Ovis aries: one gene and its partners. The protein of the gene in region 3 binds, or shares a complex with, the protein of the main gene of each other region. Links are inferred from orthologs where the notes say so. Each region holds a gene or a part of one and is shown on either strand. Other genes may lie near its edges. The genes, in order: NUP214, NUP107, E3 SUMO-protein ligase RanBP2, NUP160, NUP98, XPO1 and NUP85.

Region 1 (4,008 bases), about 57 Mb from region 3:
TTTCTTTTTAAAACAGAAGTAAACTCAATTACTTTGAACTGAGAACTTGAAGGCACTTAAAAAATACATCTGGTTTCTGATAGGTCCTCAAAGTCTTTTAAACATTAAAAACATGCTGGTAGATGTTGGTCTGAGCGTCCCAGCTGGCTCAGTGATAAAGAATTTGCCTGCAATGCAAGAGACTCAGGTTCAATCCCTGGGTTGGGAAAATCCCCAAGAAAAGGAAATGGCAATCAACTCCCAGACAACCCCATGGACAGCAGGAGTCTGGCGGGCTACAGTCCATGGGGCTGCAAAAGAGCCAGGCCTGACTCAGTGACTAAACAACAACAGACGCTGGCAGATCTGCACCAGCGTGCGCGGGACAAGTGTGTCTCCCGATAGGTTATCAAGGAAAGAAACACGAGTTTAGTCTTTCCTTTCTACAGTACTGCGTGTGTGTTCAATCACTCAGGCCTGTCGGACTCCGTGGACTGCAGCCCACCAGGCTCTGTCAATGGAATTTCCCAGGCAAGAATACTGGAGTGGGTTGCCATTTCCTCCTCCAAGGGATCTTCCCAACCCAAGGATTGAACCAGCATCTCTTGCGTTTCCTGCCTTGGCAGGTGGATTCTTTACCATTGCCTATCTCAACCTACAAATTGATACAATTTTGACTTCATTTAAAAAATTTTTTTAAAACAAAACAAACAAAAAAAATTTTTTTAAATTATGAAAGTATGATAACACTCTACAGGAAACTGGGAAAATACAGAACAAAGTTACATATAGTTTCACTACATATTATGATTATTAAAAATTGATATAATTTTAAATACCATATGACAAAGATGGAGAAAGAAATTTTAATTTGCGTGTAAACATTCACATTTAAAGCACAGCCTTGCCTTTCTAAAAGCAAACCCTTTCTGAGTTTTTAACTATGAAGACAAAAGTCATTCCCCACAGTTTCTTAAATCCAGCCTATTTCTAATGCATAATATCAACACCAAGTTCACTGCAGATACTTTAAGCAAAATGCAGCAGCAAGTAAAATGTCAACCAACCTGCCTCCCTCAAACCTGCACTTGTTTAGAGGGAAACACGAAAGTGAGGCGACTCAATGCAGAGACTGTACCTTGTGTGGCAGTGAAGTTAGAAGACGGTGTTGGTGTGACTATCCCAAAATTAAAGCCAGTCCTAGGGGTGGAAGAAAAGAAGTTAAAAACGAACAGACTTAAGGCGCAACACTGCCCTTTAACAGTACATTTATAATCCATTCACATAATCTACTCTCAGGGACTTGCAATCTATCGATAAACATCAGCAAGCGCATTGCCTCTGAAGCAGCAGCGCAGAGCTCTCAGAGCGTGGGGGGGAGCGATGTGTGGGTGAGGTGAGAGGGAAGCAGCCAGTGAGGAGGCCTTGGAGGAACAGCCAGGCTTCCCATGGTAGAGGGGGTGGGGACCTATTTCAAGGAAAGTGAAGGAGCACTAGGACTGTGCCTTGGGATGGTGGCTGGAGCGGTTGGCTCGCCTAGTGAGGCGGACGGGATGGGCTAGGTGAGGAGGAGCCTATGACCCACCCAGGGAGCACGTCAGGACAGCGCATGCCACTGGGGGAGACAACAGACAGTATGAAATGGAAGCCACTGTCTTTGCTGTTCGGACAAAACGCTTAGTCCTCGGCTGGGAAATTTGGTTCAGAAACTTTAAAAAAAAAATTTTGGTTGCACCAAGTGGCTTGTGGGATCTCACTTCTCTGACCAGGCACTGCACACAGCCCACAGAAATGAAAGCGCTGTAGCTGTACCCTAACCACTAGGCCACCAGGAAAAGTCCCTCAAAAACCTATCTGATTCTTTTCATCCTCTCCTCTCTTTCTGTACATTTTCTTCACCCTGTGAGTGAAGACAATATAAGCAAAGAAGAAAACTCAGCACCAGCTGAGCCAGAATGGAGTACTCATTCTGAGAAAAGTTCAAATAGCAAATTAAAAACTGTTGGATTGGTCAAAAAGTTCATTTAGGCATTTCTGTAAGATGTTATGGAAAACCCCAAACGAACTTTTTGGGCAACCTGATAAAAAGCCGAGCATATCAAAAAGAGTAAGTAACAGTAAAGAGTAGAGTTGGGTTTTTTTTTAAACTCGTCACTGGCTTCATCAAATGGTCCAAGACCACCTAAGATGTGTTAAATATTTTATCATCTTAAAAAAAAGAAAACAAATCTCTTTCTTTGTCTCAACTCTGGTGAAGAAATTTGATGTAACAGAGGTAAGCAGCTGACCTATGACCCAAACCTCTGTAGGTTATTTTAAAGACGGGAAGAAGAGTATCAGGTTCACAGAAGTAAAGATTAATTAACAGATGCGGTAGCTCCTGGAACTGACCTACTCTCTAAAACTGTGCTCCAAACTACCTTTGGGGAGTAGAAAACTAATGATTTACAGGAAAATATATATGATTTCCCCCTTAAAATTCTATTCTAACACCCTCCTTTCTCGTAATGTGTTAGGCTGAAGGGTGTTCAAGAAACAAACTCACAGCAGGGAAAAGAGACTGTGGTCAGTGTGATTCCAGTTACAAAAGCATAAACTGGAAGAGCTTAAGAGACTTTTCTAGTGGAACTGAATGTGCAACCCTTCACAGTGAAAACAATCTTTGGATGAGTATTTATCTCAGCCACACAGAGACTAACTCCACCCCAAAGAAGAGAGATGCTCTGCCAACTCTCACAGGTTTCATGATGAGTGTTCGCAGGATAGTGAAAAGGTATGCCCCCTCCAACGTTAATAAGAACTTCCTTTGGACTGAGGGTTAGAAGACCCTTTTGTTTTTAAAAATAACTCAATTTGACAAGTACAGACATCATCACTTTAAAAAAAATGAAACAGAAATGGACTTCCCCACATCTATATAAAACCCCAATTCTTAAATGGCCACTGTCTTGATTGCTCAGCAGTCTAGTATAATGTGACCTCTCGGGGCAGCGAAGCCAATCCAAGGTCTCACCCAGCCGCCAGATGGTGTCAGAATGAAAAGATCTCGGTGTGATAAACTAGAGCAACCACAGACCCACTACCCAAACAAGGCTTATCCTAAACAACAAAACAAACAAGCCAGTAAGAACACACATATAAAACTGAATCGAAAAGGGCAAACAGATTTACATTAGGACACTAAGCTACTCCCACTATCATTAAATGTGTCACTGTGGAGATAAGAACTCTGGCTTCATATAAGTATACCCGCTGACTATAAGATTTGGAGAAGCAATCTATAAGGATTTTGTGATCTGCCACAAAACTTAAGTTTACAACTGACCCTGATGAAAATGAGAAAGGCTTGCTGAACTGCCCAACAGTAGACGGGGTAGAAGTCACAGCTGTTTCTATCTTGGTTGCCACTGGTCCTGGAATTATGGGAAAAAAAGAAGAGCATTACAAAAAAACCAACACCATTTTAGTTTAATTCTCTGTGGCACTGAATGCTTAGTGCCACGCAAAGCGCAGCCCCAGGTCACGTGCTTCCTGTAGGTCAGCAGTCAAGGGGAGAGTGAGGACTCGGTCGTGCTCAAGGTCTCTGAATGGGCTCTCTGGCCCTGTCAACTGTCAATTTCAAACCAAGGCATGCCACTTTACCCTTTCCAGGAAAGACATCAAAGTAACTGGAGTGCAGGTCAAATTTAAGGCTTTAAAAGTAGATTCTGCAATTAATGAAATGTGATACATGTCAAAGGAAAAGAAACTCCAAGGGGAAACAGGTCATGTGAAACATCTCTGAGTAGTGACTTCACGGCTGCTGGCTTTCTCGCCGCATCTGTTTTTCCAGAGACTTCTTGTATTACTATTAGTTAATAACAGGTCTGCTTCTTTATTTTTTATTACAGAGGTAACACGACTGCTGTCACACAGAGAAGAGTGGAGAGTTAAAGTGTAGCCCGTCGTCTCCCCACATGTGGTGTACTGTGGCTGCTCACTAACAGGCTGGGGCAGTACCCACACTCTCCCCCCCACCTCTCCCTCTCC
Region 2 (4,008 bases), about 89 Mb from region 3:
TTTTGGTATTTTCTTTTATAATTTCTTTCATATTTTAAAGAATTGTTATCCCAGATTTACTAAATCATTGTGATTATTTAAAGAATATTAGTGTGAATGAGTAATTTCTTGTTTCTGTCCCTTCAAAAAATGTTTTAGATTTGGATATTGCAGCTATAACAAAAACTGTAGTTGAGAATATTCGAAAGAAAGATGATGGTGAATTCAGTCATCATGACCTGTCCCCAGCCTTGGATACGGGTACTACCGAGGTAATATGAGGGTACAAGAGGTGTATTATGTGACTGAATAATCCCTCGTGTTATGCTTTTTCTAAATGTCTACTTTAAAATACTCTGGCTTCTTTATTTTTTAAAGAGTTTTTCTTTGTCAGCCAAGTTATAAAAATTGTCAGCAAACTTAAGTCTTGTGTAAGGAATTGCTTAGTAGTAGTTTTATGTTAAAGGAAGCTTCTTTAATAGTAAAAACCTGAGCATTGAATTTTTACTCATCTGATTATTCTAGATACTTGATCAGTTAACTAATTTTTATGTAGTTTAATTGTTCCTTATTTTCAGAAAAGAATAGAAAGTTTTATCTAGGAAAGAAAAGGTTGTAGAATAGCACTTAAAGGAATCAGATAATTAAATTGGTGGCACATCAGATATAGAGCTATTAAATGTGAAAATAAACCAAGAAAAGCTATTTTCTTTCATAATTTTGTGTAACCTGAAGGAAAATAATCATTAGTAGTACAGATGTAAGCCAGTTCTATTAATGTGTAGAATATCTTAGGGAAAAAGCACAATTGACATTTCTTTTTTTCCAATTAAATGAATAGGAAGACCGATTAAAAATTGATGTAATTGACTGGTTGGTATTCGACCCAGCACAGAGAGCAGAAGCACTAAAACAAGGCAATGCGATAATGAGGAAATTCTTGGGTATGCTCTATTTTATATTATTTTTACAAAGTTTTTTTTTTTCTGTTCTTAAATTTTGTTGTTTTTCTAACCCTTCCAGTAGGGTAAGGTACAAAATACCCACTTTTATGGCTGATATTGTGAAACAAAACATATTTAATAGTGACTTACTATGTCCCACTCAATTTTATATATAATCTCAAGGTTTTGAAAAATGGAATTTTTTTTTAAGACATAGTATGTGAAAGTAGCTGTGGGATTTCCTGGTGATCCAGTGTTTAAGACTCCGTGTTCCATTGCAGTGGATTTGGATTCAGTCCCTGGTTGGGGAAGTAAGATTTGGCATGCTATGCAGGGCAGCCAAAAATTGAAATATATAATGAAAACAAAAGTAACTACATTTAATTAATCCTTCATGTGACTGTCACACTGAAATAAGGAAAAGCCCAGCCATTAGGTAGAAAGATCCCCCAAACCTTTAAAAGAAGTACCTTGGGCCCTGAATGGTTACAGGCCACGGTGAAAGTTGTAGACTAATAATTTGACTCCTTTAGAAGCCACTACACAGAAATCCACGTATATTGAAAAACTATATGTCTTTTTCCCAGCCTCAAAAAAGCACGAAGCTGCAAAAGAAGTATTTGTGAAAATTCCTCAGGATTCAATAGCAGAAATCTATAACCAGTGGGAGGAACAAGGAATGGATAGCCCACTTCCTGCTGAAGATGATAACGCTATCCGAGAACATTTGTGCATCAGAGCTTACTTGGTGAGATTGTAGAGAAAACCACGAAGTGCCTGTCTTTATGATGACTTTCAAACCTGATTCACTCTCAAACCTTAAACTACTTTTTTGAAAAGTGGTGATTGACTTACTATCTTACCTCCCTTGTGACTGTGGGAATCACTGATCCCTAAAAACTTGGAAGTCCTGACCTTGTCTTCATGTGCAGGAGCCTCTAATCATTGTTAACCAACACACCATGTGTTTTCTTAAGATTCTTTGAATTCTTAACTTTAGCATTTCTGCTTTTGGCAACAACTGAAAAAAGCAAGATAATCTATATTATGACTAAAATAACAACATACTCATTCAGAATTCATTCAACAAATAATAAAGTGATTAGCTAGGTTTTAGGACTGAGTCTGAATTTCTTTGCTTCCCTCTGGAAGCTAATAGGTTCATCAAGGACACAGATAAGCACGTGAATATCACAAACAAAATACTTATTCACTGTAATTTTTTTGTATAAAAAAGAAATATTGAACAATTTTATTTCTTACTACTGCAAAATTCTAAGAACCAAATTTTTAAAAATTGTATTGAACATATGTGAAAAGTTTTCATTTTTTGTATTTTTCTATTTTACTTTACATTTTAGGAAGCCCATGAAACCTTTAATGAGTGGTTTAAGCATATGAATTCAGCTCCACAAAAACCTACTTTGACAACTCAAGCAACTTTTACTGAGAAAGTGGCTCATGAACACAAAGAAAAGAAATATGAGGTAAGTTAAATGTAGATGAGACATGTCTCATTGCATCTCAGAAATACAAGTCATATATGTAAGATCATTTCTTCAACAGTTATATTCCCATTATAAGAGTTGATCTTCCTTATTACTGTTATACTTTGAAGAAAGAAATCTGTTTAGTTACCTTTTTGTAGATAATTAACCAAACATGAAACGTACCTTCAAGTGACAATAATGTTCATTTACATGGTAAACATTTTAGTGTTTTATTGAACTGCAGTCTGTTGATGTTTATTTTGTATTTGGCTTACTGAATGTCAGTTCTTTAGAATGATGTTCCATATATGTACATCTCTGTACTTTGCAAATATATTATAGTCCACTATATATCTGCCTTATATCTGTTTTCCAGATGGATTATGGTATTTGGAAAGGGCATTTGGATGCCCTAACTGCTGATGTGAAGGAAAAAATGTACAATGTCTTGTTGTTTGTTGATGGAGGGTGGATGGTGGATGTTAGAGAGGTAAGCTCTGTGCATTGTTACAAGCTACATCTTTTTTTTTTAAGTTTTTTCTCTGAATAGGAGCAGTTACAGATCTTGTATTACCTTTGTACTATATTATAACTGAACATCCCATAATTTAAGTCTAACCTGGAATACTAGTTAGGGAATATATGAATGTCTGACTCCTGGGTAAACTATTTCTCCACATTTAATATGTTCAGTCAGTATAGTATAGTAAAATCTAATTTTTAAAAATTCTGGACCAAAAATCAATTATTCATGTATTCAACTCAGTCTGTAGAGGTGAAGATAAGTCTAGTAGAGTGAGTAAGACATACATAAAGCAGGGACTCTCACCTCTGAACTGCCCATTTAAATGACCTGGAGAACTTTTTAAAAAATACTGGGTTGATTCCCCTAGTGGCTAGCAGTGGGGAGAGGGAAGGAGGAGCAACATAGGGGTTGTGGGGTGGGAGGTACAAATCACTGGGTGTAAAGTAGGCTATGAGGACATATTGTACAACATGGGGAGTAAAGCCAGTATTTTGTAATAGCTAAATGGATTATAACCTTTAAAGGTTGTATTAAAACAAAACAAAAAAACCTTTTAATGAGTCCCCAAAAGATATGACAATTAAATACAATATGTGATTCTAAACTGGATCCTGTGTTGGAGAAAAAAAGATGCTATAAAGGACAGTGTTGAGTCATTGATGTTGGTATTATATCACTGTTAAATTTTCTGAAGTCATTAACTGCAGTGTGACTATATTAGGAAAAAAAATCCCTTTGTTAGGAAATAAACTCTGAAACATTCAGAGGTAATGGAACATGATTATGCAACTTGCCCTCAAAGGGTTTAAAAAAAAAAAAGTTTAAATTACCTGGAAAGCGTTAATGTGTAGCCTGGGTTGAGAGTCAGTTACAGAAGTACTAAATGCCAAAAAAAAAAAAAAAGCACAGATGCAGTATTTTCTGACTTCAGAGAAAGCAAAGGCTGCTTCTACCCAGAAGAGATCTGGACAGAATGCTTAAAAGGTATAGCATTTGACTGAACCTTGAACGACGGGTACATTTGGATGAGTAGAAGTAGGGGAAAGGAAGAATGCTGCAAGTAATAATG
Region 3 (3,845 bases):
TGCACAAGTAATGAATTTTTTAAATATCATGGCTGTTAACAATTGTCACTTTATTTTTGCTACAAAATTCACCAGAAAAAGGTACTGCAACAATCTAGTATAAAGCAAATCTTTAACCAAAGAACATGGTATAGACCTGTTTAAAATACTCATACTTTATCACAATAACTGCAAGGAAAAATTCAAGTTCTATCAGAACCAATGCAGTTTGAGGTAGTAGAAACAGATGACAGAAAGGTTTTTTAAACAATAATTACTCAACTTAAAATGTAAAAATTAATTTAATACCTTTGAAAGGGCGCAGGAAGCTACGTATTTTAAGGAAAGAAGGTACTCTGCTTAAAAGAGAATTTAACTATACAGGAGGTGCAAGAATTTATAGAAGAGCACTTTGGTTAAGTCTCTGCCCTCTGTGGCTCTACCCATTTACAAGTGAATCTGTTCATAACTGAACACACCAATAGTTAAAATTACCAAATATAGTCCAAATCTGAAATAAAAATTATCCAAGTCATGGTCCCTTTATTCAAACAGTAAGTATATCCATGCAGGAAGTCTAATATCTTAAAAGGAACTAAAATTAAATTGCATATATCATATTCTTTCAATAGTTTGAGAAGGTCTATTGCTTTTAACAAGATTAGTATTCCATTTTAATACAAATATGTCAGGAGTACATAAACACAAGTACACCTGAAAATACACCAGTGTTTAAACTTTTATTTCACACCATGCAAGGTCAATTATAACACATTAGAAAGTGACAACAGCTATAAGCTGCAATTTTACATTTGTACATTGGAGTCCATTTTCAAAAGCTGAACATAATTAATTACCATGTTGTCAAAACAGCTAGGCCTCAATTCAACTTTTATACAGGTAAAATTTACTATGGAAAACAATGATTTTATATCTGTCCACATTCTGTGATAATAATTCTTCGACTAACAGACCCTTTAGGAGAACCAAATGACTCAATCTTTTTCACAGTATCCATACCATCTTTAACAAACCCAAATACTACATGCTTAAAGTCCAAACAGTCTGCTTTTTTCAGTGTTATGAAAAACTGAGAATTATTGGTGTCCTGGCCTCGATTGGCCATTGATAGTAAACCAGGAACTGTATGTTTCACATTAAAATTTTCATCTTCAAATTTATCTCCATAAATGGACCGTCCTCCTGTTCCATCATGTTTTGTGATATCTCCCCCCTGAAAAAAAGATTTCAATTAACAGGAATCACAAATAAAACATTAAAACACATACAGAACTAACCACTGAAGGGGTGGTCCTAAATACCCAGCTTCTCTGAGAATGCAGTTTGAAAAAACTAAGAAATTTGTGAAAGGAAACAAAAATGAAAAGATCTTTTCCCACCCTTAATTTCTATCAGGTTCAAGGCATTAGAAATATGAACGCTTTTAGGCTGCAAGTTCTTGTGGGGATAGAAGCTGGGGGTGTGGGAAAGCTATAGTCTACAATTACAGGTAAGGAGAAACACTCAGATTTCCCACACTGGTGTGATGCACACTTAAGACTTACTTGGCAAACAAAATCTGGAATCACTCTGTGGAATATGGAGCTCTTGAAACCAAAGCCCTTCTCTCCAGTGCACAGTGCTCTGAAGTTCTCAGCAGTTTTAGGAACAATGTTTGAAAATAATTCCATGGTTATGCGTCCCAGGGGCTCATCATCTGCACAAATGTCAAAAAACACCACAGGATTTGTCTCCTTTGAGAACTCTGATGTCAGTGATTTCTGGGGTTTCAATAAATTCTGTTGACATTCTTCAAATTTTTTCTTGAAACAATCAGCCATTTCTTTAGTTTTAAATCTCACTGCAAGCTGTTCCACTTTGGCTTCTCCATCTGTTAAACAACACAATGGCCTTAGTGTTAAAATAACTTAAAAAAAATTGTTTTATATATTTGTTGTCAATTTAGAAAAGTAAAAAACTGGAAAGTAGCATTGAGTGCAGAGCTCACCAGCATAATCTGAGGCAGTCCAAACTAAAGCATTGTTGGAAACATTCAAGGGTTTCAGTTCCATCGTCTTGGTGATGACATGGTTCGCACACACTTTGAACACCTGGTCTCTCCTCATCAGAATCCGAAAGTAATTCTTCACCGTGTGCCAGAGGATCTTCATGTCTCCAACGCCACGCTCTTTCCACTGACTGGCCTCTCGATCCCACCTGTAAAGTTTGGCTCTCTCTTTAAATAAAATTTCTTCATCTTCTTCTCCAGATTTTACTTCTACCTGTGACAGGAGATGAAATTACCTATAAGCTGCTGCTTATAAAATACTCATAACAAATTCCAAAGATCCAAATTCCTTAACACACTGACATGAACAGAATTTGAAAAGAGTTAACATCCTAGGGTTACTATACGGCAGATTCGGATGAGGCAGGAAAGATTTGTCATTAAATGTTTTCTTTGTACTTATTAACATCCTTCCTCTTTTTGGAAATCAAATACAATCTTTTACAGGAGAGAAGAGGTTAAAAAAAAAAAAATCTTGTTCTTCAAGAAAAATACTATCTGCTGACTAAGGTTCAAACTGATGAAAGTAATTTGCCTAAAATAACATTCCTGTCTAGAGAAAGTACAATATACTTTTTATTGAAAGGACTGTGGCAAATATCAGCTTAGATGGGTTTTTAATATTTTGCTCCTTCAATTATGTTATTGAAAACAAACAGGAAAAAATTAAGTTCTTCCCAACAATTTCACACAGAATTTTCCAAATAACATTTGTATGTAAATTTTTTTACAAGGATGATTTACATTTTAAGATTGAACTTGTAATAAAGAGCTTCCATTTGTAATGGTCAATGTTCTGAAAGAAATGCAAACAAGGTCAGCCCTACAAATCAAGCCCATGTCAAGTTTTAAACTTAAAATGTGAAGTTAGTATAAGGTTTTTACACTTTAATATTTACCTCTGGTAGTGACACTATTGGTTCAAAATGGATATCTTCATTATGAACTACCTCTTCATCACTACCATCTTCATCTTCGCCAACTTTACCAGTTGACTGTGCTCCAAACACTGCTGCTCCAGTATTTGCCCACTGGAAATTTTTATCTGATGAATAAATTAGGATATTTAAACAGTGATATCTATTTTAATAAGCTTTTAATCCCTGTTACAGTACTTTATGAATGAATCTAATTTCCAATGATGTGACATACTTCTAATAAAAATGCTTAAAACTGCATTCTCCTGGCAAGTTAAGCTCAAGTGGTGAGCACAAAGGAATGTAGTAACATTTACGCCTGGGTATACAGACAGGGTTGTATAAGCCTTAGGTCTTAGTGACACTGAACTTTTAGTAATAAAGCAGGTTCTTCATTCAAAGTGCATCCTTTGAAACCTGAAAACACAACACAGCTCCAAGGGTAGTTTATTTCATAAAACATTCTATTACATGAAAAAAGTAACTTTAGAGCCTAAGAATGTTCTCCAAGAGGCCAAATCTGCTACTTTGAAAGCAGACTGATTACAAGTTGGTAACTTCTCCACCTTAGCTCTCTTCTAAGGTAAATGGAATGAGAGCTTCAACTTCTTGCCCAGGTGGCACTGGTGGCCCCAGGAGCAGCTCACTGGCCCCACCCCACCCCACCCTCTCTCAAGCAACACCAGGCTTAATGGGTGAAAAGGCTCCCCACTCCTACGCAGGGGAACAAAAACTTTTCCCTCCCTCCCACCCTGGAGAAGGTGAACACTAAATGCTGTTTTTTCCACATCTCAACTCTGACAACCCAGCCTGCTAATATTAATACATTCCCCACTATCTTAGCGGAAAGAAACCTCTCAATTCTTCATCACTTTGCTGAC
Region 4 (4,008 bases), on a different chromosome or scaffold from region 3:
GCTTAAGAGAGATAAAAATGTCTGACACTTGCAGGCTATTTCCTCCGTTTGGAGACCGCTGGCCTTCATGCCTGTTACCCTCTCAACATGTTGGTGACTCAGCTGTGGGAGTAGCTAGAAAAACAGAGATAGATGGATTCGAGATACACTTAGAGGGTAGCTTCATTAGGACCAGGTGATAGACTGACAATGGGATAAAGGATGGTAAGGGAAAAGGAGGGAGCAAGGACAAGTTCCCGTCTTTTGGTGTGACTGACCAGATATCCTGCAGAAGGATTGCCGTCTTCTGAGATGTAGAAGATGGGTTTTGGACGGGTGTTAAGTAGTTCTTTTAGCCGTGCTATTAAAGTGTCTGTGTAGTTGCATTTTGACAGTGTCAAGTAGGCATTGAAATTTATAGGTTCAGAAGAAAGACCTGTGTTAGAGGTGCAAATCTCATTGATTTCAGAAATATTTTTGAGTGCCTAATATGTTCCGACACCAGTGCTAAAGAATCTCCCTGCCAGTACAGAGGATACAAGAGATGTGAGTTCGATCCCTAGGTCAGGAAAATCCCCTAGAGGAGGGCATGGCAACCCACTGCAGTATTCTTGCCTGGAGAATCCCAGGGACAGAGGATCCTGGCAAGCTCTGTAGGGCTTTGGGTTGCAAAGAGTCAGACTGAAGTGACTTTGCAGACACACAATGTGTTCCAGTGAATGTTTAGGGACTGGGAACATAGCAGGGAATAAAGCAGACAGTCCTTGCTCTCAGCAGAAGCTGATCAATAACAGTAACCCCAAAAAACAGTAGTTCATCAGGTGATATGTGGAATGGAGAACAGGGAAGGGAGAAGGGGAATTATTATGTTTAATATTTCACATAGGGTAGTTGGGCAAGACCCAGTGATAAGTTAACATTTGAGCAGAGGAAATAAGGGTACCCAGGGGGTGAGATTTCAGGTAGAGTCTTTGAAGAAAAAGGGCAAAAATCCCGAGACAGGAGCTTGTGTGTTGTTTTCAAAGAATGGGAAAGGGCCAGAAGTCTGCCTCTTGAGAGAATGAAGGATGGAGGAATAAGGTAGCCAAGGGGCAGATTAGGGCTTTGTCAGTTATTTCAAGGCTGTGACTTTTACTTTAAGTGAGAGGAGGGTTTTAAGTGAAGAAGTATTATGAATAACAGTGTTTTTAAAAGGTGCTTGTCTGCTGTGTTGAGAACAGAGTGTAGTAGGAAGGGATGGGAGCAGGGAGGCCAATTAGAGGTTGGTGCCACAATCCACACAAACGATGGTGGCGGCTTACAATGAGTTTGGTATTGTTAGAGGCTGTGAGAAATCTTCTAATAGTGGATATGCTTTAAAACTATTTTGTTAGAATTTAGTGTTGGATCAGATGTAGGGTATATAGAAAGGAAAAATTCAAGGGTGAACCCCATGTTTTTGGCATGAGCAACTGGAAGTTACAGAGACGCCATCCATGAGTTGGGAAAGAAGTGGAGGTGAAGCAGATGTTTTCCTGGTTTGCTGGGTCCAGGAATTCTGTTTCGGACAGGTGTAGTTTGAGATCCCTGATGTACAAGTGCAAGTTTGAGGCAGTAGTTAGGAGGTGAGTGGAGAGTGTGGGCTGAAGAAGATACAGATTTAGAAATCATCGTCAGTCAAAGCTGTTAAACCAAAGGTGATCGCCCATAGCAGTGGTCCGCAAGCTTCTTGGCACCAAGGACCAGTTTCACAGAAGACAATTTTCCCACAGATCTGGGGTGGGGGGACTGGTTTCAGGACGATTCAGGCACATTACATCTGCGGTGACCTTGGTTATTGTGACATCAGCTCCACCTCAGATCATGAAGCGTTAGATCCTGTAGGTGGAAACCCGCTGACAGAGAGGAGAATCGGGTAGTGCAGTAGATGAGATCTGGTTAGGACACGGCCAGCATGGTGCTGTCTGTGGTTCTGAAGCTACCGCATAGCAGAGGTATACGTGAGCAGGAGTCTCTTCCTGCTTCCTAGCAGGAGGAAGCTTTAGAAGGGACTTATAAGATCACTGTAGTTTGATGGCTATAGTGATTATATGTAGAGGCCATGTTACACTATAAGTTGTGAGTGTGTGGTGTGAATTTTAATCCTAGTGGAGTTTAATTGAATTGACTATTGTTCTAAAGGTTTCCCAGGTGGTGCTAGTGGTAAAGAACCCGTCTGCCAATGGGGGAGATAAGATAGACCTGTGTTCAGTCCCTGGGTCGGGAAGATTCCCCCTGGAGCAGGGCATGGCAACCCACTCCAGTATTCTTGCCTGGAGAATCCCGTGGACAGAGGAGCCTGGAGGGCTGCAGTCCATAGGGTTACAAAGAGTCAGAACTAACTAAAGCGACTTAACACTTTGTTCTAAACATACTATCAAGTTTGGAAATGTCTCCATTTAACAGAGAATCATATAATAATAGTTGAATTGTATATAATGCTGTGTTTTGTAGACTATACAATGTGGTTTGGAATGTCAGAATTGATTTGAGTTTGCTTATCCAAAATTTTTGAATTAGAGTTCACCTGAAAACTATTGTCATACATTTCCATGCAACAATCAGAAAGAAAAGTGTAAACTCTTTTTTTTGTTGTTTTTTACAAATGTCTCTTTTTAATAGGAAAACCTCTGGAGATACATTGGAGCTGGTGGAAGAGTCACTGGACATAAATCTGTTGAATAATGCAGTTCGCCTCAAATTCCAAAACTGCGTCCTTCTACCCGGAGGAGTTCATGTCTCTGAGACTCAGAATCATGTGATGATCTTGATATTGACCAATCAGACCGTGCATAGATTGCTTTTACCACACCCTTCCCGGATGTATAGGAGTGTAAGTTGGTTAAGTATAATGTCCTTTATTTCTCAGATTACTTGGTCGCAAATTTAGTATTAGAGCAGTGTCCTTTGGAACTGAAGAAAGGATGGATTCCTGGCTAGCCCTAACCAAGCACACTTCCGTGCTGGCATTGTTGTTTAGTCGCTAAGTCATGATCGGCTCATTTGCGACCCTATGGAATATAGCCCGCCAGGCTCCTCTGTCCGTGGAATTGCCCAGGCTCTTCTGTCCATGGAATTACTGGAGCGGGTTGCCACTTCCACCTCCAGGGGATCTTCTCCACCCAGGGAACGACCCCACATCTCCTGAATTGCAGGCAGATTCTTTACCGAGGAACTGCTGGGGAAGCCTCATACTTTCCTAGTTACTATTTAAAATGATCAAATACATTCTAAGTTGCAAAAATAGTTTTATTAAAAAGAACAGCTTCTTTTTTCAACTCAACAATTTTTTACTTTAAAAACATTGATAGCAATTGGGAGGAACTGAGCAAAATTCATTTATTTTGTTTTTAACAGATTTTTCTTTTTCATTTCTCCACAGGAGTTGGCAATCGAAAGTCAGATGCAGTCAATATTCACTGACATTGGAAAAGTTGATTTTAGGGATCCTTGCAACTATCAGTTGATCCCGTCAGTGCCTGGCCTCTCCCCTGGTTCTGCCGCCTCAGCAGCCTGGCTGAGCAATGATGGGGAGGCTCTGTTTGCTCTGCCATCTGCCTCTGGGGGGATCTTTGTTCTTAAACTACCTCCTTATGACGTACCTGGTAAGAACGGGAATGCAACATGGATTTAATTTCAAACAGATACTGGCATTAAGACAGATGTTAGAAGTCCAGGGCCGTTATCCAGTGCAGGAACTGCTTCCAAACCATCCTAAATTCATTATTACTTTCCTAATGAGTCCCTAACACTTCACAGTTTTTCCCAAGAGGGTGGGATTTTATACGGTGAATGAGGAACTGCAGCTTACTGGAATATAGGAAAACAGGTGGCTATAAGGTGGCCTATTCTAAGGCCTTTAGTAGAGATGAGTTGCCTGATGTCTGTTTTCAGTTTGAGGTGCTGTGACTAAAATAAGTTTAACTGAAACAAGGAAGCTCAGTGCTGCTACCATGCTCCAAGTTACCACCTTCTCTTACCTGAACTATCGCGTTTGCTTCCTAATTATCT
Region 5 (4,795 bases), on a different chromosome or scaffold from region 3:
AACATAAGCTGTTTGGAGTCTGCAATGGTTCTTAAAAATATAAAGGAGTCCCAAGACCAGCCCTCTTCTAATCCTCTGACTTCAGTTTCACATCTTTCCACTCACCCTACTGCCTCCCAGCTTCACTCTTAGGACCAGATATAGCATCGCATTTAATTGTATCAATTCAAGTACAAGCTCTTTTGCCTTTTTCCACAAAAAAATGAAATAAATATTGCTCTATTTATCCAATGACCTATCCCCTTTCAAACAGGACTCTAATTTCTCCTATCCCAGAGAAAGGGAGGCTGTGACAGACATGGAAGGAGAAAATAAAGAAAGCAACTCTAGTACTCTTTTTAGCTCCCCATCCCAGATTTTGACAATTTAAGGGTTTTCAAGGATATCTCAACCAAATGCAACTTATTAGCTGACTCCACAAACATAGACAAAGTATGATAAACGTAAGATTTTTTATTGAAATATTGGGAACGTTCTCTGTAGAGCACCAATCTCACTGAGGGGCAGTTTTGCCTCTCAAGTAACATTTGAAAATGTTTGAAGACATTCTTGAATGTTAAATCTTGGAGAGAGGGTGTTATGAGTATCTAATGGGTAAAATACAATACATAAATGAAAAATACTTAGGTTCAATTCTAAACACACAGAATGTGCCAAATTCTCAAGAAACATTGTTTATATACTTTGTCTCTAATACTTATTGTTAAATCACTAAATTTCTTATTCCCTTAAGCTTTGAAAAGATTGCATAATTACAGATGTGATCTTTATTTACTGGAAATTTAACATCAGTATTACTACCCCTTACCTCCTAAGGTTACTTGCTACTATAAAAGTATCAAAGGAAGTAACATTTCCAAGCTATGAATCTGGTTCCCTAAAAGTTGTGCTTGTTATTAGCTGTCTAGGAGCAAATGGACATGAACAGTCAGGTATCAAAGTACAACATAACACACAAATGGTATGGGTCCTCTTATCTGGGCCTGATATTTCAGGAGTGCACAAATACCTAGCCTCTTTATAGACTACTTTTAGGCTTAACTCCTCCAATTTGTTTATCCATCCAGACAAGCATACTTACTGAGGGCCTACTATGTGAAAAGCAAACTGAATACAAGACAAAAAACTTTTTACCAGTCTAATAAAAAGACACAGCTGAAATACAAAATGACTGGTGTCATAAACTGAAGTATCAAATAAGTGTTATAGAAGGCTGCAGGGGAAAGAATGCCGGGGGAGGCTTCCCAGAAGAGAAAATGGCACAGAAAACACACCCTGTTCACCTCTTAGTATTATAAGACTACAGCTTCTGCTCTTATACACTACATTTCTCAATTTTTGCTTCATCATCAAAACAAGAGGAAAGTGATGAGTCAAAAAATAAATTTATCAAAAGTACTTCCCAGGACCTCCTTCTTGTCCAACTTCTGGTTTGTTTTCTATATATCCAAACTTCAACAAGTTCCAAACACGCCATCTAACAAGTGTTTCTTTCTTTCTGAATTTATAAGACTATCACAGGGAATGATCACTGCTCTCTTCTTTCTTCCCTAGCTTCTTCTCCCAAAATAGTTTAATTTTCTCACCTTATTCTATGTTTTCGAATTCGGTAAGAGAGGAGTTGAGTCCCAAGATACAAGAAGTGCCAAATGACTGCTAGTGTATCTTTCTAAGTCTTGTCTTTATTTCCTGTTTTCTATTTCAACTCTACTGTAGCTCACTAACTGGACCCTTTCTTCTGAATCCTCAGTAGCCGACACAAATAAAAATTTCAGACCTACATCAGGAAACTAGCCACTAATATGTAGCCTTATCAGTTCATTCCCAATACATGATACCCCTGATGTTCTTCAACTTTTGAGTTTAGTTCTCATGGTCTAGGCTAGCGTTCCACTAAGGAAGCGTTTGCCTTACGGTGAACTGGGCGGGTAGCAACCAAATCGGAAACGATATTGAAAACTAGGTTTCTGCTTCCAACTACTCAATGTCACCATCTTGACCCCTCCACTTTTCTAAAGGGAATCCTCAGTAATGGGGGGCTAGAACGCCCAGGGAGGGCAGTATAGTAGAAAAATTTCTGGCACTTTCTAGTACTGTTTTTCCTCTGGGCCTCAGCTTCTCCACCTATGAAACTTGCACGTGACATGGGGTAGGGGAATTGACTTAATTTCCAAGGTCCTTAAGGCTAAAGTAAGTAATCCAGAAACCTCACCCTGTTTCTCGTCTAGCTTTATGTGGGACACGTGGGAGAACAAAAAGTAAGGTTTCACTCCATTAAATGACCTTAATTCTCAGATACAGTTTTAATAAGCTCACAAACTCCAGACCCACTCACCCTCCCCAGGGGTTGCAAATTTCCCCTTGGAGAAGCCAAAGCAAACAAAGCCCAATCCCGCAGATGATCAGGGAAGTGCTGAGGAAACCGTCCCTCAGGTTCTCAAGGCGCTGCCCCCGCAAAGGGCCTGCCCACCTAATCACTGACGGGCAAATGAATGAGTACAACCTGCTAGAGAAACGCTCACTCAAGGGAGGCTTCAACGCGAGACCCCCGGGCCCAGAACCCACAGAGAGCGATCCCTCCTCAAAGCCTGAAGGGTCAGGCCTCGGGGCCCGAGACCCGCCCCCTCCCTCAGGACAGAAGGTGCGCGCTAGGGCGCGAGACTCGGCGCGGAGAGGGCCTGGGACGCCCCGCGCACCCGCCCTCCCAAAGTGGAGGAGGAGCCTGCCGGTCTCCGGCCTCCACCACCCTGGCTCCCGACTTACCGCGGTGCTGGGGGCGGGGGAGAAGTGTCAGGAGTGAAGGCCTAGGCCGGACCACCACCCGCCGCTCAGAGAGCAGCGCGCGGCCGCCACGAAACCGTCGCCGCCGCCGCCACCACCGATACCGACCGCCGCTCCGGGCGCTGCGCGTAGAGGGCCCGACTGCGTCACACGCCGCCCGCCGTCAGAGGCTCGCTGCGAGCGCTCCGCCCTCGCAGTCTGCGCATTGGCAGACGCCGCCGCCACTCTACAGCCGCCCTGTTAGTCATTGGACCACGGGTCTTTTGAAACCGAACGTGAGGGCTGTCTTTGGGAGACTAGGAGAGGGGGGAAGAGGCGGGACCGAAGGAATTAGGGGGAGGAAAGGGGAGGGGCGGTAAGGAGGGACATGGAGTGCCGCCCCTCGTCGCCGCGGTTGGCTGGGAGGGAGTAGTGACGTCACACAGGGCCCCTCGAAGTGGGCTGGTGAGTGGCTACATCGGGAGGGGGGTGGGATAAGGGTGATGACGCTATGCCGAGGCTCCGCCCCTTCTCTGGAGCGGAGACACCCAGACTGCTGAGACTCGGGCCAATCAGAGTGAAGCTCCAGAATGGCATGGTAACTGTTCTACCCTTCCTTTGCCTCAGTCCGCGGGTGGTCATGGGAAAGTGCTCCTGTCGTCCGGCCCTCATTTCCTGCCCAGACCACGTGCGGAGCTGGAGGGCCCGCCTAGGTCTATCTAAGTAGCTCGCCTGCAGCTGCTCCAAGGCCCCCAAACCTGGCCTTCTTGCCTCCTGACCCATGCCAGCCCAACATAACCTCTCCCTCTCTGAATCCATAGCATAGGCATTGGGAGTGTTAGTGATGCCCTAAGGGAATGGCTCAGCTTAAAGTTTGGTACAAATAACAATTATTGGGACTTTTTTCCCACCTGCACTTTAGGAACCCCTAAAGTTCTAATTGAAATGATCCCGCCTCCTCTGGGATACCTTTGTGGATCAGTCTGTCCCAGCGAGTTGGGGTGATGCTTGGGCAAGCCTCTGTTACAGCTTTGTTTCTTTGTATTCTGTTACTTACTGTCTTATCTTCAGGGCGGGGCTCTTGGAAGTTAAAGCTTTATTTTCAAATTGGTGTTCCTTCCTCTTGTGTTCCCTGGTGGCTCAGAGGATAAAGCATCTGCCCGCCATACAGGAGGCTCGGGTTTGATCCCTGGGTTGGGAAGATCCCCTGGAGAAGGAAATGGCAACCCATCCCAGTATTTTTGCCTGGAGAATCCCCGTGGACAGAGGATCCGGGCGGGCTACAGTCCACGGGGTCACAAAGAGTCGGACACAACTGAGCGAGTTCACTTTTCCTTTCCCCCCAGGGTCTAGTCCAGAGCAGGAGACAGATTATCTCAAAGGGGTGAGTTGAACATGTTCTGGAAACTAGATCTAGTGACTAAGTGGAAAGTGAAAGTGAAAGTCGCTCAGTCTGACTCTTTGCGACCGCATGGACTATACAGTCTATAGAATTATCCAGGCCAGAATATTGGAGTGGGTAGCCTTTCCCCTCTCCAGGGGATCTTTCCAACCCAGGGATCAAACCCAGGTCTCCCGCATTGCAGGCGGACTCTACCAGCTGAGCCACAAGGGAAGCCCCAAGTGACTAAGGGTTCCACACAAAATAGCAGATACTGTGCTCAGAAAGCAGAACCTATTAGGATTACCACTGCACCGCCCCCTCCTCCTGGGACATTAATACAAGATTGAAATGAGCTCTACCCAAAACATGGATAAAGCTAAATTATGGGTTTTCAGTGGTGGGATTAGAGATACTTAAAAAGTGGAGTGGTTGTGAAGATAAGATAATGGGTGGGAGAAACCTAGTACATTGTAGTTGTTCAGTAGATGCTTGAAGGAAGAAAAAAGTAAATATATGGATGATCAAATAGTAAAGCTAAATTTCTGACTCCAGACACCTTCCCCTAACTCCTCCATGAAAGTATTACTCCTTTCCCTCCACCCTCCCTTGCCTGTGCTCAGCATCAGAAAGTCATTAAGTCTCCCTGGAGGG
Region 6 (4,008 bases), about 16 Mb from region 3:
TTAAAACATGAGTTAAAAATTGAAATTGCTGCCGTTAAGAACGTTTTTAAACTGTTGTAAAATACCTAAGAAATAAGCCTTTTTCCTAACAAGCTAGTTTGTTCAGATCCAGTGTAATCCGGTTAGCCACCCTATTTCCTGGTCTTGGAAGGTTAAAAAGAGGGGGAGAAGTAGAGACGACCATATGACCTTGTTGGGTCTAAGTATTGTAAACCAGGAGTGCTTAACCCAAGGTTTCATGTGTGGCTTTCGGAATATCCTGAATAGTCTGTCTGTAATTGTATATGAAGTTGTGAATTTTTTTTAAATTGGCAAGAGCCATCCTGTTCGTTTGATGTGAGGCATCTTGACCCAAAAAAGGTTGAGTACTGATTTAGCCAGACTTAAGCATCACTTGACTTTGAAGAAAAGTAAAGGGAAAGATTTTTTATAATGTTGGACAATAAAAATGTGTACATGTGCCAGCCCCTTGGAGTAGAATCCTCTTAAAAGGATACCACTGCATGTGAACCAGTAGATTTCAGCCAGTACATTATTTGATGTGAAGAAGCTCCTTTTTCTGTTATGGTAGAATTTGATTTTTTTTTGCAGGGTGTGTTGTCGGAATAGTTAGCAAGCTTTTTGCTTTGCTAACGAATACCTGGAAATTTTTCTAAAAAAATCTTTAGATATTACTATGAAGTTTTTTTTTTTCTAGACCATATATGTTCAAGGAGCTTGTACACTTGTAATTTAAACTCCCGCATTTATTCAAAGAAGAAACAATATAGATGGTTTCATTGTATGTAGAAGTAAATTCTATATAAGTTAAGAGTATGAGATTGGTTAGACTTGTAGTTCCTGCAAATCATTGCTATATATAGGAAAACTTTGATACCACATTTAGTTTTTAGTGTCTTAGATATGTTTTTAAAATTAAAGTAGCATGAAATAAGGGAAAGTGAACTTTTACTGAGCTGAAAGAACCTGCTTAGGAAGAGGGGGACATCCATATGAACTTTATCTCCATTTGAAAAGTTGAGATCAGGACTTTGAACTGTATCATGTTTTAGGGCCGTAAATCCTTTAATAATTTTTTAAAACGGGTTAAGATAACTTTATATGCATGTTAGTAGAAAGAACAGTAAGATTTTTCTCAGGTCTAAAAATAAAGTAGATCCTAATAATCAGTGTAGTTATGGAGTACCTAAGTAGCTTCAGGATTTGCTTTTACTATCTCAGTTGTTTAGGTAAAAATCTCCAAAATACAAAAGTAAAGTATTTGTAAGAACATGGTGAAAGGGAAATAACTAGAGTAAAAACTTTCTGACTGATAATGTCATAGGCGCCTTAAAATTTTTTTTCTTTATTTTCAGTAATCTATGCCAGCAATTATGACAATGTTAGCAGACCATGCAGCTCGTCAGCTGCTCGATTTCAGCCAAAAACTGGATATCAACCTTTTAGACAATGTGGTGAATTGCTTATACCATGGAGAAGGAGCCCAGGTAAAGTAGCTGACCAAAATATTATTGCAGCGTAATAGTTGCCGGGTTTAGAATAAAACTTGAAATTACCACCATTTAAAGGAGTGTTCCATAGTTTGTATTAAGTTGGAATTAATATATATTAACTCTGAGAGGTGGTCTGTAAAAATAAATCACATTATATTTTCAAACGGTTTAGAGTGAAACGTTTTGGAATATTCTTGTTCTGTCCTTCAGCAACCTTTATCCCATTTACTGAAAGATCCTAATGTATTAAATATTTTGTAGATATTAAAAGTTGTATGTCCCCTATATATTGGAATTAATAGAGTCTTCTATTTTGAAACATTTAAATTGTAGAAGTACTTCACAGATAAAACTTATTTTAGAAATCCAACAATACCAAGTGTCTGAATTTTAGCACATGTAAAAGTGCTACTGTTAAAGTAGGAGATTGTCTTAACATACAATGTTTTGATAAGTTTAAGGCATTGAGGTTTTTTTTTCCTAAACAGAAGTGTTTGTAAATTTCAACTTTTATATGTTACAAGAAACAACAATCTTGAGTCTTCACCTTGTGGACTTAATAATGTAAAGTTCTAAATGAGTAAAAGTTTTTGCTTTGGGCTTAAAAAGATCTTTTAAAGTGATGTCACAGATATCTTACTAGTACAATTTTGTTGCCAGAAAGTACATTTCTGGGAGATAGTGTATCTTTAAGATACTGAGTTATATTGAATATTTGCCTAATTAAACCCTGGCTACTTTCATAATTTTTAGAAACCTCTAAAAGGTGGACATAGAAGATAGTCTAAAAAACATGGTACATAAATATTAGCAAGTATATAAGTATTTCTGTTCCCTTCTGAAATCTAACATTGAGGACCATGTAAGTTGTATGAGTGCAAAAAATAACTCTTCAGTGATTTTGTAAGCTTGTTAGTGCAGTTTTACACTCCTAGGGACTTTTGATCAAAAGCATTCTGAAAAGTATCTGTATTTACTACACTTACCATGTAGTAGTTGTTTCCTGATGATTATATGTTCAACATGAAGTTTTAAGCTCCATTTCATCCCAACATGATGTATGCAAAACAGCTGCTTTGGGAAGAAAGTATGAAAGTAAGATTGAAATGCATGAAGTGAGGGGTATGTGGCTCAGTGGTAGAGAATCTGCCTGCCAATGCAGGAAACAGGTTCCATCCCAGGGTCAGAAAGATCCCCTGGAGAAGGAAATGGCAACCCACTCCAGTATTCTTGCTCTTGAAATCCCATGGACATGGGAGCCTGGCAGGGCTACAGTCTATGGGGTCACATGTTTAGTGACTGAACAACAACAACAAGGTTGGGTTCAACTTTGTATTAGAAGCACAAGTCTGTAAGCCACTAGGAAGATTGATGTTCAATTTTATCACATTATTAAGCTACCACTGCTGTCTAGTCTTTGTTCTTTTTTAACCTGGTTCACAGTGTCTAAAAGTATGATGACTAAAAAGACCAGGGCTCTACGCTTATAATTGGAATAGTGGTTATGAAGAGTAGGGTGTAATACTACTATTAGTAATGTTTCATAGTGTTGAGATATAGTGATTTTGTTTTAAATTTGATTTCTGAATAGAGAGTAGATTTAGAAAAGTTTTTACAAATATTTTCACATTTATAAAAGCAAAATTAACTTTCTCAAAAGTAAAAATTTTATGTTTAGTTAGATCTCTCATAGGACAAATCAGTTGTATAAAGATAATCAGTAAGTTGATACTTGTTATAGATTAGGAAACAGGCTTAGAGCCTAAAGGCGGCTAAGAACCCCTTTTCTGTTGGGGTATCTTTAAACTTCCTTGTTCAGTCGGTTTTTTATATACCGCCTCTTTGAGGGTTTTTATTTTGGATAAAAAGTTTGGAAAGCATTGTTTTAATGTTAGATGTCTTAATTTTATTCCAGTAAGGTTTCTGGTCATTCCTCTGGAGTCTCATCCACAAAGTGTTCCCTACCTTGGAGGAGACTGGAGGGTTAGTGATGAGGTTTTGTAAAGCACTTGTTACCAGTGACTGCTACTTTAAGGGTACTTTTGAAAGTATAGTAAAGAAGACATGTGATGTAAATGCACATGTATGTGATGTAAACTCATTGTTTTAATATATGGTTTGGTGGGGAGTGTTTGGTTTTGGTTTGTCATAAAATATGTACTTAAAATAGCAACTAGAAATTATGCTAATTAAGCTTTCAAACTCAACTTTATGTAGCCTAACTTTTTAGAAATGATAACATAACTTTGGAGAGAAATTATTAGAAGAATGTAGGTAGAACTTTTGCTTAGATGGGTAGTATAGTAAAATTTTAGCACTGTAATATTAGGACTACCTTCTGTTATAAACATTTTTAGCCAAGTAGGCCGCCAGGAGAAAAAAACATGATAGAGTTCGGTGTTTTCTTCAATACTGTGTTAAGTGTCTTGAACTCTTTTATCTATTGCTTAGCAACTAAAATACTTTGACCATTCAGTTAGTAGCACAGGGAGATGCCAGATTTTCCCTTTGGTTT
Region 7 (4,008 bases), on a different chromosome or scaffold from region 3:
AGTAGGGATTGGTTTACACTGAATGACTGACTAAATGGGCTGTCTGCCCTGCCCTGGGGCTGCTGTCGTTCTGTGAAGTACATGCCAGGTCCCCTTTTCCTTTTGCTGGATGGCAAGAATTGGCAGCTGCAACCCACAAGAGAAGAAATCCAATTTTTCCTCCAGCTGTGGATATGCCAGGCAAACACGTGGTGGCCCTTCAGCAGAAGCTGGTAAACTGTGATCTCCCAGGGCCTCCCTGGGATTCCCTCATGGCTCAGATGGTAAAAGAGCCTGCCCACCATGCGGGCGGCGTGAGTTCAATCCCTGCGTCAGGAAGATCCCCTGGAGAAGGAAATGGCAACCCACTCCAGCATTCTTGCCTGGAAAATCCCATGGACTGAGGAGCCTGGAGGCTACATGCAGTCAATAGGATCACAAAGAGCTGGAGATGACTGAGTGACTACACTTTCAGGGTCTCTCTGCTCTGCCTCTGGAGCCCTGTCTGCCCCACAGCCTGGCATGGTTGACATGGCAGCATCAAGTACCCCTATAGAAAGCTTCCTTCTAGCTGAGGAAGGGTTCCCTCATTCTCCCTAAGAGGAGTGAACAGCTGACACCAGACCTGCAGCTCAAGGCTCCCCTACACCACCAGCGCCCCAGCGAGACAGAGGCGCTACTGTCCCCTGGGAAGCGAGCTGGGGCCTAACCACAACAACCCATGAGAAAGCTAGTGCTCAGGAGACCCCAGATCCCACCCTTCCTCGTCCAAGAGGGCACTCTCTCTCTGAGGATACTTCAGCCCTTCTTTCAATTAATGGGCAGAGGTCTGGGACCTGCTTTTCAGAGTACGGCAGGAAGAAGCTTACTGATCAGGAAAACCCGAGCTCCTAGATTCCGAGCTAGTGGAAATACCTCGATTTTTTTCCTGCCTGCCAGGGTAGACGGACACCCAGACTGAGGGGCTGCAAGTCTGATCATTCCTCCTTCAAGACTGGCAGGGGTGATGCATTTTTCAGCGGCGTTCATTAGCACCACGCCTCTTTGTTACACTTCTTTACCTTTTCCTTCTACAACCACTGAAAACAGCAAGGTGCTTTACCTTTTTTATTGTCCTTCCTTCCTCTTTAGCTCAAATCTGTCTTGATCCTAAAATCCCAGATGTGGCTTATGAAGGAAGCCCTCGAAGAAATAACCCACTGCCTGTAACAGACAACACATTCTGGAATGCCTATTGCTTTGAATTAGAGACAGAGATACTGACAAAGCTAAAGACTAGTGTCTGTGCCTCTGGGAGCCATCCCCACTGATCCTTCACTGCAGATACAACCCCTTGCCAAAATCAGCTGAATTCTGTTAAGTTATCTTCCAGTTCCAACCAGTCCCTATTTTAGAGGTTTGTGAAAAGAATATGGACACAAACCTTCCTTTCTCCAAGTCTAACACCATTTTCTGAATGGTGGGCCTTGGCTTTCTTTTAGCCAAACAGAAGAGCAGGTAGCATGGGTGGGGTGGGGGTGGGGGGTGGAATCGGGGAGACCTTCCCACTGCCCAGATTCACTAACAAAGAAAAGATCCAGTGTGGAGGTCAGTGAATTCAATGCCTGAGCAGGGCCACCTGCCCCAGTGGTTCCCAGCCTTCTCCCTCTGCACGAAGAGGGAGGGGAAGTTCTCTCTGACCGACTACATGTGGGGATTCTGGAAAGCTTTGCTTTGGATTCATTGTTTCACGCTCCCTTTCCTGCCTTGCTGAAGGTCTGGGGAGAGATCTGGGGAGAGGGCTGGTGTAGAGTCTCTGCTCTGAACAGACCCAGCCCCGTGTGGTGGCGTGGTAGCTCCTGGCTCACCAGAGAAGTGCTGTCCTGTAAGGTAGCTGCATGTCCATCAGGTTCCAAGAAACAAGCTGGCTGGCTATTTCTGGATTTTAAATACCATAGTAATTTCTTGCAATATTACTTTAAGTAAACATCCCTAAAGTGTAAACTGTTAAAGATACAGGAGCCTGCAAGCCTCAGGAAGGCCCCCAGGCTTGTCCAGAGAAGACACTGTCTACCTAATGTGGCGGGGGGTGCGGGTCTGTGGGAAGAAGCCTAAGACACCAACAGGAAGGAGCAGGACGCTCTGGAAAAGGACGGCGGTGATGGGCGTGTGACATGGTGAATGCACCAGCCGCTGCACTGCAGCCCTGAGGCGCCCAGCATGGTGGTGGTGCAGCGGGTCCTACCTGCACTCCTTGATCACTTGGTGGATGTCAAACTCGAACGCTGCCATCAAGATGTTGTCCAGGGGCTCTGGGCTGCTCTCACCTCCCAGAAACAGGTCAAGGCTGGACTGTGGAAAGGTGGTGACCCATTCAGTCCCTGGATGGTGGCAGAGACTCAAGGGGGCAGGCAGGGCTGCTGTGTAGGGGACCCGGGAGAAGGGCAATGGGGTCCTTCAAACTGGGCCCAAGGAAAGCCCCCTCTGTTCCCCAGGGAGGGTCAAGTCAACAAGGCCACACGGTGAAAGTGACTGGCAGGGAGTGGAGCCCCGGACGCCGACTCCCCTCCCCTCCTGGAGGAGCTGACGCACCTGAGCGTAGAGGTGCAGATCCATGGGCTTGACCGTAGGCTGAGAGTACAGCAGCCGGGTCACCAGGAAGTGATACCAGTTACTCAGAAGCTCCTTCTGCTCCAGCAGGGCGGCATCATCTCCCAGCAGGACCTGAGAAGAGACGCTGTCCCTTAACTCTGGGGACACTTCCCTGTAAGGCTCATCTCAGCTGGAGCAGCTGAGTTAAAAGCTCACTCCTTCCCAACAGGGCCCACACAGAGCCCCGTCTGAGGAGGAGCTGCTGCTGAGCTGGATGCCAGGACTCCAGGAGGAGCTGGCTTGGCCCCTGGCCAGGACCCGCTCCCAGCAGACCTTGCAGAGGGACTCGAGGTGGGGGTTGGAGGCGAACGTGCCGTCCTGGAGGTGCCGCTCGCATTCCTCGTGCCAGTGCTGCCACCTCAGCTCCAGCTCCGTCAGGGTCTGCGTGTTCCCAGGCTGTGGGAGAGACGCAGACAGGGGCGGTCACCACGGCAGCCCCTCACGCTCCCTGTATAAACCTCTCTCTGCGACCCAGGCGGCTCCACATACGCTGAGAACGGGCATGGTCCTCATCAGGTCCCCCAGGACTCGGCACATGCCTGCAGAGGTGGGGTTGGTGTCGGCTTCCTTGGAGAGCATCTGTCGGGCCTCGTCCAGCCGGCCCTGTAGCACCAAGGTGGTCACCTGGGAGGACACCAAGAACACAGCATCCAGGCGGAGGCTCAGCAGCCAGTCCCCTCAGCCTGCTTTGGCTTCCTCATCCTGGAGAAGTGTGATGGTTTCTCCGTCAGAGGTAATTTAATTCATCCAACCTTCTAGTTTCAACCCGTACCATGCTTTTCAAACTGCGTGTTGTTGTATCGCACTGCAGGTGACTGACTTTTTAAAAATGAAACAGAAAATAAAAATTACCAAAGTGCATCAAATAAAGCACTGATCTGTAAAAGTTTCAGTTAAAAGAAAAAGTTCTAGTTCAAATACTGGGTTAGCCAAATTTGGTTCAGGTTTTTGCATGCTATTTTATGGCCTGGGTTCAATTCCTGGTTGGGGAACTAAGATCCTGCTAGCCACGGCAAAAGAAAAGGAAGAAGAAGCAAGCCAAGGAAACACATGCTGCCCAGTCCCAGTCCCTTTCCCTGATTCCAAACACGCACATCCTGTTGCCAATGGCTCCACTTGGTTCACAGGCACCTTAACATGCCTCGAAATGAACACCGGGTCGCTTCCAACCCACCAACCCACATTCTTCTCTTTCTTACACATCCAATTCATTAGCGAATCCTATCACTGTACCTTTAAACTGCATCCAGAATCAAATCACTTCTTACCACCTCCTCCACTCAGCTCCTACCCGGGTCCAAGTTACCACCACAGCTGCCTGATTTAGGACCTGAGCCTCCAGGCTGGTCTCTCCGTTCTGCTTTTGCTCTATTCTCAGCAGTGCAGCCAGAAAAGCCT

What was found.
Region 1: E3 SUMO-protein ligase RanBP2 (region 3) and NUP214 share a complex: the UniProt entries of both Homo sapiens proteins name them as parts of the nuclear pore complex. The link is inferred for Ovis aries from reciprocal best matches to the Homo sapiens genes RANBP2 and NUP214.
Region 2: E3 SUMO-protein ligase RanBP2 (region 3) and NUP107 share a complex: the UniProt entries of both Homo sapiens proteins name them as parts of the nuclear pore complex. The link is inferred for Ovis aries from reciprocal best matches to the Homo sapiens genes RANBP2 and NUP107.
Region 4: E3 SUMO-protein ligase RanBP2 (region 3) and NUP160 share a complex: the UniProt entries of both Homo sapiens proteins name them as parts of the nuclear pore complex. The link is inferred for Ovis aries from reciprocal best matches to the Homo sapiens genes RANBP2 and NUP160.
Region 5: E3 SUMO-protein ligase RanBP2 (region 3) and NUP98 share a complex: the UniProt entries of both Homo sapiens proteins name them as parts of the nuclear pore complex. The link is inferred for Ovis aries from reciprocal best matches to the Homo sapiens genes RANBP2 and NUP98.
Region 6: the proteins of E3 SUMO-protein ligase RanBP2 (region 3) and XPO1 are in contact, whole or in part, in a cryo-EM structure (PDB 9B62), measured with the Homo sapiens proteins. The link is inferred for Ovis aries from reciprocal best matches to the Homo sapiens genes RANBP2 and XPO1. Residues at the interface, in NP_006258.3 of Homo sapiens: Val2508, Val2509, Ser2510, Pro2511, Pro2512, Lys2513, Phe2514, Val2515, Phe2516, Gly2841, Phe2842, Gly2843, Ser2845, Thr2846, Gly2847, Leu2848, Ser2849, Phe2850, Ala2851, Leu2853, Ala2854, Asn2857, Ser2858, Gly2859, Asp2860, Phe2861, Ala2862, Phe2863, Gly2864, Ser2865; in NP_003391.1 of Homo sapiens: Trp60, Val63, Asp64, Leu83, Asn97, Gln98, Gly101, Ile102, Lys104, Tyr105, Val107, Gly108, Ile110, Ile111, Leu134, Phe149, Asp152, Ile153, Gly155, Ala156, Ser157, Arg158, Thr159, Ser160, Glu161, Leu163, Cys164, Asn167, Leu208, Phe211.
Region 7: E3 SUMO-protein ligase RanBP2 (region 3) and NUP85 share a complex: the UniProt entries of both Homo sapiens proteins name them as parts of the nuclear pore complex. The link is inferred for Ovis aries from reciprocal best matches to the Homo sapiens genes RANBP2 and NUP85.

What each region holds. Positions count from the first base shown.
Region 1 is NC_056056.1:5,536,802-5,540,809, forward strand, and holds part of NUP214 (nuclear pore complex protein Nup214), read right to left. Parts: intron 3,393-4,008; coding exon 3,305-3,392; intron 1,180-3,304; coding exon 1,118-1,179; intron 1-1,117. UniProt on the Homo sapiens protein: Part of the nuclear pore complex. Has a critical role in nucleocytoplasmic transport.
Region 2 is NC_056056.1:151,261,968-151,265,975, reverse strand, and holds part of NUP107 (nuclear pore complex protein Nup107), read left to right. Parts: intron 1-138; coding exon 139-251; intron 252-820; coding exon 821-923; intron 924-1,510; coding exon 1,511-1,671; intron 1,672-2,284; coding exon 2,285-2,410; intron 2,411-2,789; coding exon 2,790-2,903; intron 2,904-4,008. UniProt on the Homo sapiens protein: Plays a role in the nuclear pore complex (NPC) assembly and/or maintenance. Required for the assembly of peripheral proteins into the NPC. May anchor NUP62 to the NPC. Involved in nephrogenesis.
Region 3 is NC_056056.1:62,092,425-62,096,269, reverse strand, and holds the end of E3 SUMO-protein ligase RanBP2, read right to left. Parts: intron 3,093-3,845; coding exon 2,947-3,092; intron 2,262-2,946; coding exon 1,988-2,261; intron 1,871-1,987; coding exon 1,545-1,870; intron 1,214-1,544; coding exon 908-1,213; 3' UTR 701-907; downstream 1-700. UniProt on the Homo sapiens protein: E3 SUMO-protein ligase which facilitates SUMO1 and SUMO2 conjugation by UBE2I. Involved in transport factor (Ran-GTP, karyopherin)-mediated protein import via the F-G repeat-containing domain which acts as a docking site for substrates.
Region 4 is NC_056068.1:76,487,650-76,491,657, reverse strand, and holds part of NUP160 (nuclear pore complex protein Nup160), read left to right. Parts: intron 1-2,619; coding exon 2,620-2,830; intron 2,831-3,379; coding exon 3,380-3,602; intron 3,603-4,008. UniProt on the Homo sapiens protein: Functions as a component of the nuclear pore complex (NPC). Involved in poly(A)+ RNA transport.
Region 5 is NC_056068.1:50,026,752-50,031,546, reverse strand, and holds the start of NUP98 (nuclear pore complex protein Nup98-Nup96), read right to left. Parts: upstream 2,927-4,795; 5' UTR 2,764-2,926; intron 1-2,763. UniProt on the Homo sapiens protein: Plays a role in the nuclear pore complex (NPC) assembly and/or maintenance. NUP98 and NUP96 are involved in the bidirectional transport across the NPC. May anchor NUP153 and TPR to the NPC.
Region 6 is NC_056056.1:46,578,068-46,582,075, forward strand, and holds part of XPO1 (exportin-1), read left to right. Parts: intron 1-1,355; 5' UTR 1,356-1,361; coding exon 1,362-1,487; intron 1,488-4,008. UniProt on the Homo sapiens protein: Mediates the nuclear export of cellular proteins (cargos) bearing a leucine-rich nuclear export signal (NES) and of RNAs.
Region 7 is NC_056064.1:55,591,235-55,595,242, forward strand, and holds part of NUP85 (nuclear pore complex protein Nup85), read right to left. Parts: intron 3,235-4,008; coding exon 3,100-3,234; intron 3,007-3,099; coding exon 2,884-3,006; intron 2,683-2,883; coding exon 2,551-2,682; intron 2,311-2,550; coding exon 2,204-2,310; intron 1-2,203. UniProt on the Homo sapiens protein: Essential component of the nuclear pore complex (NPC) that seems to be required for NPC assembly and maintenance. As part of the NPC Nup107-160 subcomplex plays a role in RNA export and in tethering NUP96/Nup98 and NUP153 to the nucleus.